Linked DNA regions of Arabidopsis thaliana. The protein of the gene in region 1 interacts with the protein of each later gene in a biochemical or structural test. Each region holds a gene or a part of one and is shown in the gene's direction. Other genes may lie near its edges.

Region 1 (3,760 bases):
TGATTCAATGCAATGTGATTTTTTTTTTTTTATCACTAAGTTTTGTTATTTTTTAATGATATTAATTTAGAATGACATGTGGCACTCATTGGTGTGATGATGTGTTACTCATATGGAGAGTGTTGGCCAACTTTCATATATATAATTTTATCAGAGATCATTTCTAAACTAGACATTTTAAAGTTGTGTATTATCTACCTAAATTATCCATATAAAAGATGGAATAGCACATTGCAAGTATTATATCGTATTTATTCTTTTTAGATGTTTCCTAAAGCATCAATCTATATGTTGCATGTTGTAAGGTCACAACTTGGAACCATAAAAGAATGGTGGAGGATAGCAAGTGCGTAGAAGATAAGGATCATTTTACATGATAATCTGGATAAGACATGCGCATATACATCAAGTTTCCATCAACAAGATTTATAGTACCCAAAAGAAAGAAAGAAAAAAACTAATATTCCATCGATCTATAGAAGTTGAACAAAATAACTAAGGTACCAAGTGAAATATGAGTCAGCAAGCAAAGTTAAAAAAAAAGTTGTGTGAGACATATCACATGAGTAAATTAACAACAACCATCATCATCATGATGTAGATAGTATAAGATGCCATGAGAAGAAGTGAGGAAAAACAAATTAACCTGACAAGAAGCATCCTAAAAAATTAACCTGTCAAACAATTACCAACCTTTAAAGTGAAAAAAAAAGTTGAAAACACTAAGGCTTTGAGAGCTTAAATGTTCATAAACAATTTTCCTTTTTCTTGCCAAGATCAATCTGCAATTTTTGTGTCAAGCATGTACGAGTTATTGTTATAAATAAATCTAGAGTCGTTATGTGAGTTCTACTGTATTTTATGAAAATCGATTAACTAGTAAAATACATCAGTCTTCTTAAGAAGAGAACCTAAACACGAAACCCTCTAATAAATGCTAGATTGCATATTCTTACACATCTATATTAGTGTCAAAAACATGATTGGACTGATTTTATAGTATTGAACAAGAACGTGACTAAATTTTCAGAAATTGGAAAGAAAACAAAAACATGATATATTTCAATATCTAAATTTCACCATATATATATAAAAAGACATAGTGCATGTGAGACGTAAAAACCTTTGTAAATAAATTTTCTCTTTAAATAGTAAATAGTACCATATCAGATTAACCATTTCAGAGTGACATAATTTGTTTGTAACCGTATAGATCCGTTTTATGCATTAAAACGATCGTGAAGTAGCTGTCATACGAAAGAACTTGTCGGCAAGAGAAGCAAAGCATAAGCAGAAAAAAACATATCTTTTAGAAGCCTATCATTTTCTTACTTTTATTCACAAACACACACAATATACATTATAAGTGTTATCTACATAATCTAAACGTGTCAATACCTGAAAAAACAACAAAACTTTATTTGCACTTCTTTCATTTCATGAACAATACATAACCAGATATTAGATAGGACTTGGACTTGTGAATATGCTCTATTTAAGGCATCTTTATAGGTTATATTTAGAATCTTTTTCTTATTTCTTTTTTGAGCATATTATTAAACTATGGACTAGATCTGATGAAAGAAAGCAATCTATTTATATATTATGGTGTAAATATTATCTTTAAAAAATCCAATGGAGGAGAGTGAAAGAGAAAAGTTGAAGCATTTTGTTTGGACTATAGAGAGAGAGAAAAAAAGATCTTAACTCTCCTTAGAAAAGTACTAGGAATCAATTTTTATTTTCTGCAAAAACAAAAGTGTAAAAGAAAATTAATAATAATATATATTCCCTGATGAAGTAAGACTAAAATAATGTAACTACACAAAAATACTTTTTAGAATTTATAATATTTTATATTAATTTTTAAAAAAGGAAAGTTGATAAGATTGGATATAAGTTTGGAAGCATTTATTTGGCCAAGAATGGCTTAGCATCTCTGCAAAACCAACACAAAGCTATATTCTCTTAAAAATCAGTTCAACAAAAGAAGAACCTGAACACAGTTGGCCCACCACCACCACTACCACAATCTCCTCCTCCACCACCACCACCTAGTCACCGGAAACCAATTCATGCCCTAGATTAAGAACCAGAATCCTTTTGAGACAAGATCTATATATACACTCTACACATTTACTTATACACTTTATCTAGATATAGATGTGTGTGTGTATAAAGGTTCTTTTTCATTACTTGTTGGTTTAGTGATAAAAAGGAGGAGAGTTTTCAGTTGGGTTTTGGTTTCTTGGTGAGAGAAGAGAGAAAAAGAGAGGATGGGAAGAGGGAAAGTTGAGCTGAAGAGGATAGAGAACAAGATCAATAGACAAGTTACTTTTGCAAAGAGAAGAAATGGTTTGCTCAAGAAGGCTTATGAGCTTTCTGTCCTTTGTGATGCTGAGATTGCTCTTCTCATTTTCTCTAACCGTGGCAAGCTCTACGAATTCTGCAGCAGCCCTAGGTGAAAACTCTTTAATCTTTGATATATCTACTTTTTCCCTCAAAGTTTCTATATTTTGATCCATGTTAGGGTTTTGATTCTTAAGGATTATAAAGGATATGAAAACTTTGTTGTCTTTCTTGATTTAGTTACAATTAATTAGTTGATTAACTACGGTTTATTTATTTTGTGAGTTCATACGCATAAATCTGGCTCGTAAAGAGTGAGATTAAGTGAACGATGATCAAAGTACGTACAAAGCGTCTAAGTTGCTCTAGATGATGATTAAAGCTAGAGAGTAGAGACTATGGCTGAAAAAAGTACAGTAGATATGTGTAGAAGCTATAGAGCATATATAAATATAGTTAAAGCTTTTACACATGAGATTGAGTGTTGTTGATATTGTTTCCAAAGGATTGATCAGAGTTTCCAAAGAGACTAAGAATTGACCTCTGGATATATACACAAAGCTGTAAAAGATATAAAAAATACTTTGACTACTTCTTTAAGTTAGTATCTCTCTCAAGTACTACTTATGATCTTATTAAAGTTATAAAGAGACAACTGTGATGATACTCAATTTCACTAGCTACTTATCATTTCCACATAAATTTATTTTATTTTTCTTGCACAAACATCATGAGATTGATACCCATTTTGATGTTCTTGATGTTTTTACATGGAGATGCTTTTAAGGTTTTTTTTCTATATTATTCTCATAATGAAATTTAAAGTTTGGTTTATCAATATATGTTAAAAGTTAAAATGATCATTTGTTTTTATGAAAAGTGGTATGGCGAGGACGGTTGATAAGTATAGAAAACATAGTTATGCAACAATGGATCCAAATCAATCAGCTAAAGACTTGCAGGTACATATCTTCTCTTTCAATCAAAGACTGACCTCAAAGTTGTCCTTAATTTTATTTTAAATTGGCAGGATAAGTATCAAGACTACTTGAAGCTTAAATCAAGAGTTGAGATCCTTCAACATTCACAAAGGTACTTATATATCCTAGTCCATCTAAATGTAACTATATATGCTCTTGTTACTAAATGTTTCTTCTTTTTAGGCATTTGCTAGGTGAAGAGCTATCCGAGATGGATGTGAATGAGCTTGAGCATCTCGAACGCCAAGTAGATGCATCACTAAGACAAATAAGATCTACCAAGGTATATTTCTAAGCTTACAAAATCGACAAATTTTGTTTCGAATCTTTCATCCTAAATCGTTGTTTCGTTTTCATTGCCAGGCTCGGTCTATGCTTGATCAACTATCTGACCTCAAAACTAAGGTACATACTTTATATAATAAAAGTTG
Region 2 (3,760 bases), on another chromosome or scaffold:
TAATACCAAGAATGTTATGAGTGATAGTATGAGAACCAGCCTGTGACTGTTGTCATTGATTCAAGCGATCGGAAATTTCACTTTATTTATCAATAATATATATAACATTCATATTTTTCAAAATAACTATATCTTAATAGAAGTCTCACGATTCGATACTTCGATCGACCACAACCAGACGTAGTCTCGTGTGATTGTGTGACTAACTTTAAAAACAACAATAATGAAATCAAAACACGAAAATCTAATTCTTACGTCCTTGTTTTTTAAATTCTCTTACGTCAATTCTTACCTTTGCGACCAAAAGAACATGTTAAATTTAAACCTACTAATTTCCGATTTAAATTTCTTAATCTTGTTACTATGAACCAAAAATTACACAATCTTTTCCCACGGAACAAAGATTATTTATTAGTATCCATATACATACAAATATACAATACACTCAAGCCACTCATATTTCGTACTTGATCAAGATATTTTCCCCCGGTAAAATCCAATTTAGAATTGTACAACATATATATTGGAAGTTCCGTTGTGTCATACCGTCACACTAATAATACAGCATACCAATAATAGAGCGCAAACGTTTCACATTGAATAGTTCACCACATATCAACTTGAGTAAATTATTATGCTTAGAGTTGTTGTCTTTTTGTTTTTTTATTTTTTTTGAATATCTGGAAATTCAAACTCAAAGACCTTACATTTTCTAGAGGCGGGATCCACACCAGATTAAATTCATATCCTTTGGGAAAGAAATCTCTTCCAACATGCCTCAAACCCAGTATTTCTAACTGAGAGATTTACCTACATAATTCAACAATCATGTCTATTATGTTTTCAATTTAGGATATCTAAAAATATTGTGAAGATAAACGAAACAAAACTTGAGGGAAAAAAAACAGTCACGTGAGTCATGAGTTATAAAGCATGGATAATGTTGGAGATCTAATTAATCTAATTGAATGCCACATCAAATTAAGCCAATCAGTGGAGAAGATCAATAATAAAAGTGAATTGGATCTGCCACTACACTTTTAGCATGAATATGGCTAAAAGAGATTGGTATTGGTAATGGTATCGTTGTCGGAGATTGTCGTACCAATTAAATAACATGTAATTATTGGATATATATTATATTGTGTCGGCCTAGTCATATTTGATGTGTAAGTGCGAGTGATTTGAGTTAGATATGGGGTATTTTACGAGGAAAATATTGAACAATTTAGGGTATTTTAAGGGTTGTAGTTTGAGCATCACAAGTTAATTATATTTAGGTTCTGCGTAAATTTGACTCAAAAGATTAAGTTATCAAAAGAAACCTCGTATAATATGATCCATATTAATTTTCTTTTTTTTATATAGAAAAGTTGAAGATTATGAGTAAATTGGTAAACTCGCGATATTCCAGAGTTCAAAACGTAATTTTAATGACAATTTGGTGAATAGTATAAATTAATATATTAAGTAAAAGATAACATTCTATTCGATATTGGTTTAATATGTCAACTGTTATATGTACATATAAGATGTTACTGATATATTAAGTGAATAATATGATATTCACCAAAAAAAATTGTATAATGAATGTGACTTTGAGTTGAAAGTTTGAAAACGAAGAGACTATAACATTTGAAGGAATCTATGGAATACGGGTGTGGAACCAATAGTGGAGGCCCTCTTCATAAACCGAGTTTCCCGAGATCCAAATTGTGCTGATGGAGCGGTTTCTAACGTTCTTGTCGATAATACTTGCAAGCTTGGCCGAAGGAACAGAAGAGTTACCATGACGTCTACCATTACGCTCGCACCACAAAGTATGAATTGATTATATGGAATACATACCTTAGAATGAAAGTATGTAGTTTTGGATGAGAATCATCAAGTAGAAGAGGAGAGATTAAACTCCAACTTGTATTGTATCTCAGTATCTGTTGCGAAGAATTCCTTTAGTGAGAGATGTGTATTGATAGGTGAAAAGGAAAAGGTCTCTTACTTTCATATTACGTGGGCCTCATAACATAGACCAGAGCTGATAGCATACCTCTCTCTATATTAAATAGATGGGCCAGGCCCAAACGTTTACCCATCTGTATTTATTACAAAGTACACGTGGCTGATGGACATGTGACGATACGTTTTGACCTATTCAAAATATTCAAACTAATGAAAAAGAGTCGTTGTCCTCTGACGCGTCTCTCTCTATCTCCTTAGATTTTCAAAGTTTTCAACATTCAACAAAATCATTATTTTAATTTTGCAGAGACGAATCGAATCGATCTCATCTCCAAAAATCTTGTATTCAAAGTTTGATTTTCTGGGTTTCTTCTGTATTATCTCGATATTTGAAAAAAATGGCGAAGGAAATTGAATCAGCGACAGATTTAGGTGATACTAACATCAAAGGAGTTCTTGTTCATGGAGGAAGATATTTTCAATACAATGTTTATGGAAACTTGTTTGAAGTTTCTAATAAGTATGTTCCTCCTATTCGACCTATTGGTAGAGGAGCTTACGGTTTTGTCTGGTACAACTTCTACCCTTTTGTGTATTTCATATTCTTGTTTCTTACTTAGTATTTGTAACCCTAATTAGATAAAGAACTAAGTATTGGTATAGGTTTTTGAATTAGGGTTGCTTGCAAAATTTGATCTTTTTTGGATTTAAGAAAGGTTCTGTCTTCAAAATCATAGTTTAAATTGAATGAATTTGATGATTTGTTTGTGTTTGTGTTTATGTATAAGCAAAATGATTCATGAGAGTATTGGTTTATTGTTATAGTGCTGCAGTAGATTCGGAGACACACGAAGAGATTGCGATAAAGAAGATAGGTAAAGCCTTTGATAATAAAGTAGATGCAAAGAGAACATTGAGAGAGATTAAGCTACTTCGTCATTTAGAACACGAGAACGTAAGTTTTGTACTCTATTTTCGCGGTAAACGATTAGAGTTTCTAGCTAATGTGGTCTTGACTTGTACAGGTTGTTGTTATAAAAGATATCATTAGACCACCAAAGAAGGAAGATTTCGTTGATGTTTATATAGTTTTTGAGTTAATGGATACTGATCTTCATCAGATTATTCGATCAAACCAATCTTTGAATGATGATCATTGTCAGGTACGGTTTTTACTCTGCTATATTTGATACTATGGTTGATTTAATCACAAGTGATTCACTTTTTCTTCTTTTGCAGTACTTCTTGTATCAGATTCTACGAGGACTCAAATATATTCATTCAGCAAATGTTTTACATCGTGACCTTAAGCCGAGTAATTTGCTTTTGAATTCGAATTGCGATCTTAAGATTACTGACTTTGGTTTGGCAAGGACTACATCAGAAACAGAGTATATGACAGAGTATGTTGTAACACGATGGTACAGAGCACCAGAGCTGCTTCTTAATAGTTCTGAGTATACATCTGCTATTGATGTATGGTCTGTTGGTTGCATATTTGCTGAGATTATGACAAGGGAACCGCTTTTCCCGGGGAAGGATTACGTTCATCAGCTTAAACTTATCACTGAGGTATGATGTTCTGTTTTAGAAAGATCTGTACAAATGTTGGAAACTTTTATTTGTGTGTTGCAATGTGTTTATGAGTTGTTTCATGTGGTTGAGTAGTTGATAGGATCACCTGATGGAGCGAGTCTAGAGTTTCTCAGAAGCGCGAACGCGAGAAAATATGTTAAGGAGCTACCTAAGTTCCCAAGACAAAACTTTTCAGCTAGGTTTCCTAGTATGAATTCTACAGCTA

Evidence for each region. Proteins that work in one complex are often made in the same cells at the same time.
Region 2: of the proteins of SEP4 (region 1) and MPK5, one has a biochemical effect on the other in vitro, tested with the Arabidopsis thaliana proteins (one large-scale study listed by BioGRID).

The regions. Positions count from the first base shown.
Region 1 is NC_003071.7:1,127,346-1,131,105, forward strand, and holds the start of SEP4 (K-box region and MADS-box transcription factor family protein), read left to right. Parts: upstream 1-1,922; 5' UTR 1,923-2,276; coding exon 2,277-2,461; intron 2,462-3,229; coding exon 3,230-3,311; intron 3,312-3,379; coding exon 3,380-3,441; intron 3,442-3,512; coding exon 3,513-3,612; intron 3,613-3,692; coding exon 3,693-3,734; intron 3,735-3,760. UniProt on the Arabidopsis thaliana protein: Probable transcription factor that binds specifically to the CArG box DNA sequence 5'-CC (A/T)6 GG-3'. Plays an important role in the determination of flower meristem identity. Involved in the specification of sepal identity.
Region 2 is NC_003075.7:6,889,786-6,893,545, forward strand, and holds the start of MPK5 (MAP kinase 5), read left to right. Parts: upstream 1-2,140; 5' UTR 2,141-2,357; coding exon 2,358-2,530; intron 2,531-2,784; coding exon 2,785-2,914; intron 2,915-2,984; coding exon 2,985-3,122; intron 3,123-3,198; coding exon 3,199-3,531; intron 3,532-3,627; coding exon 3,628-3,760.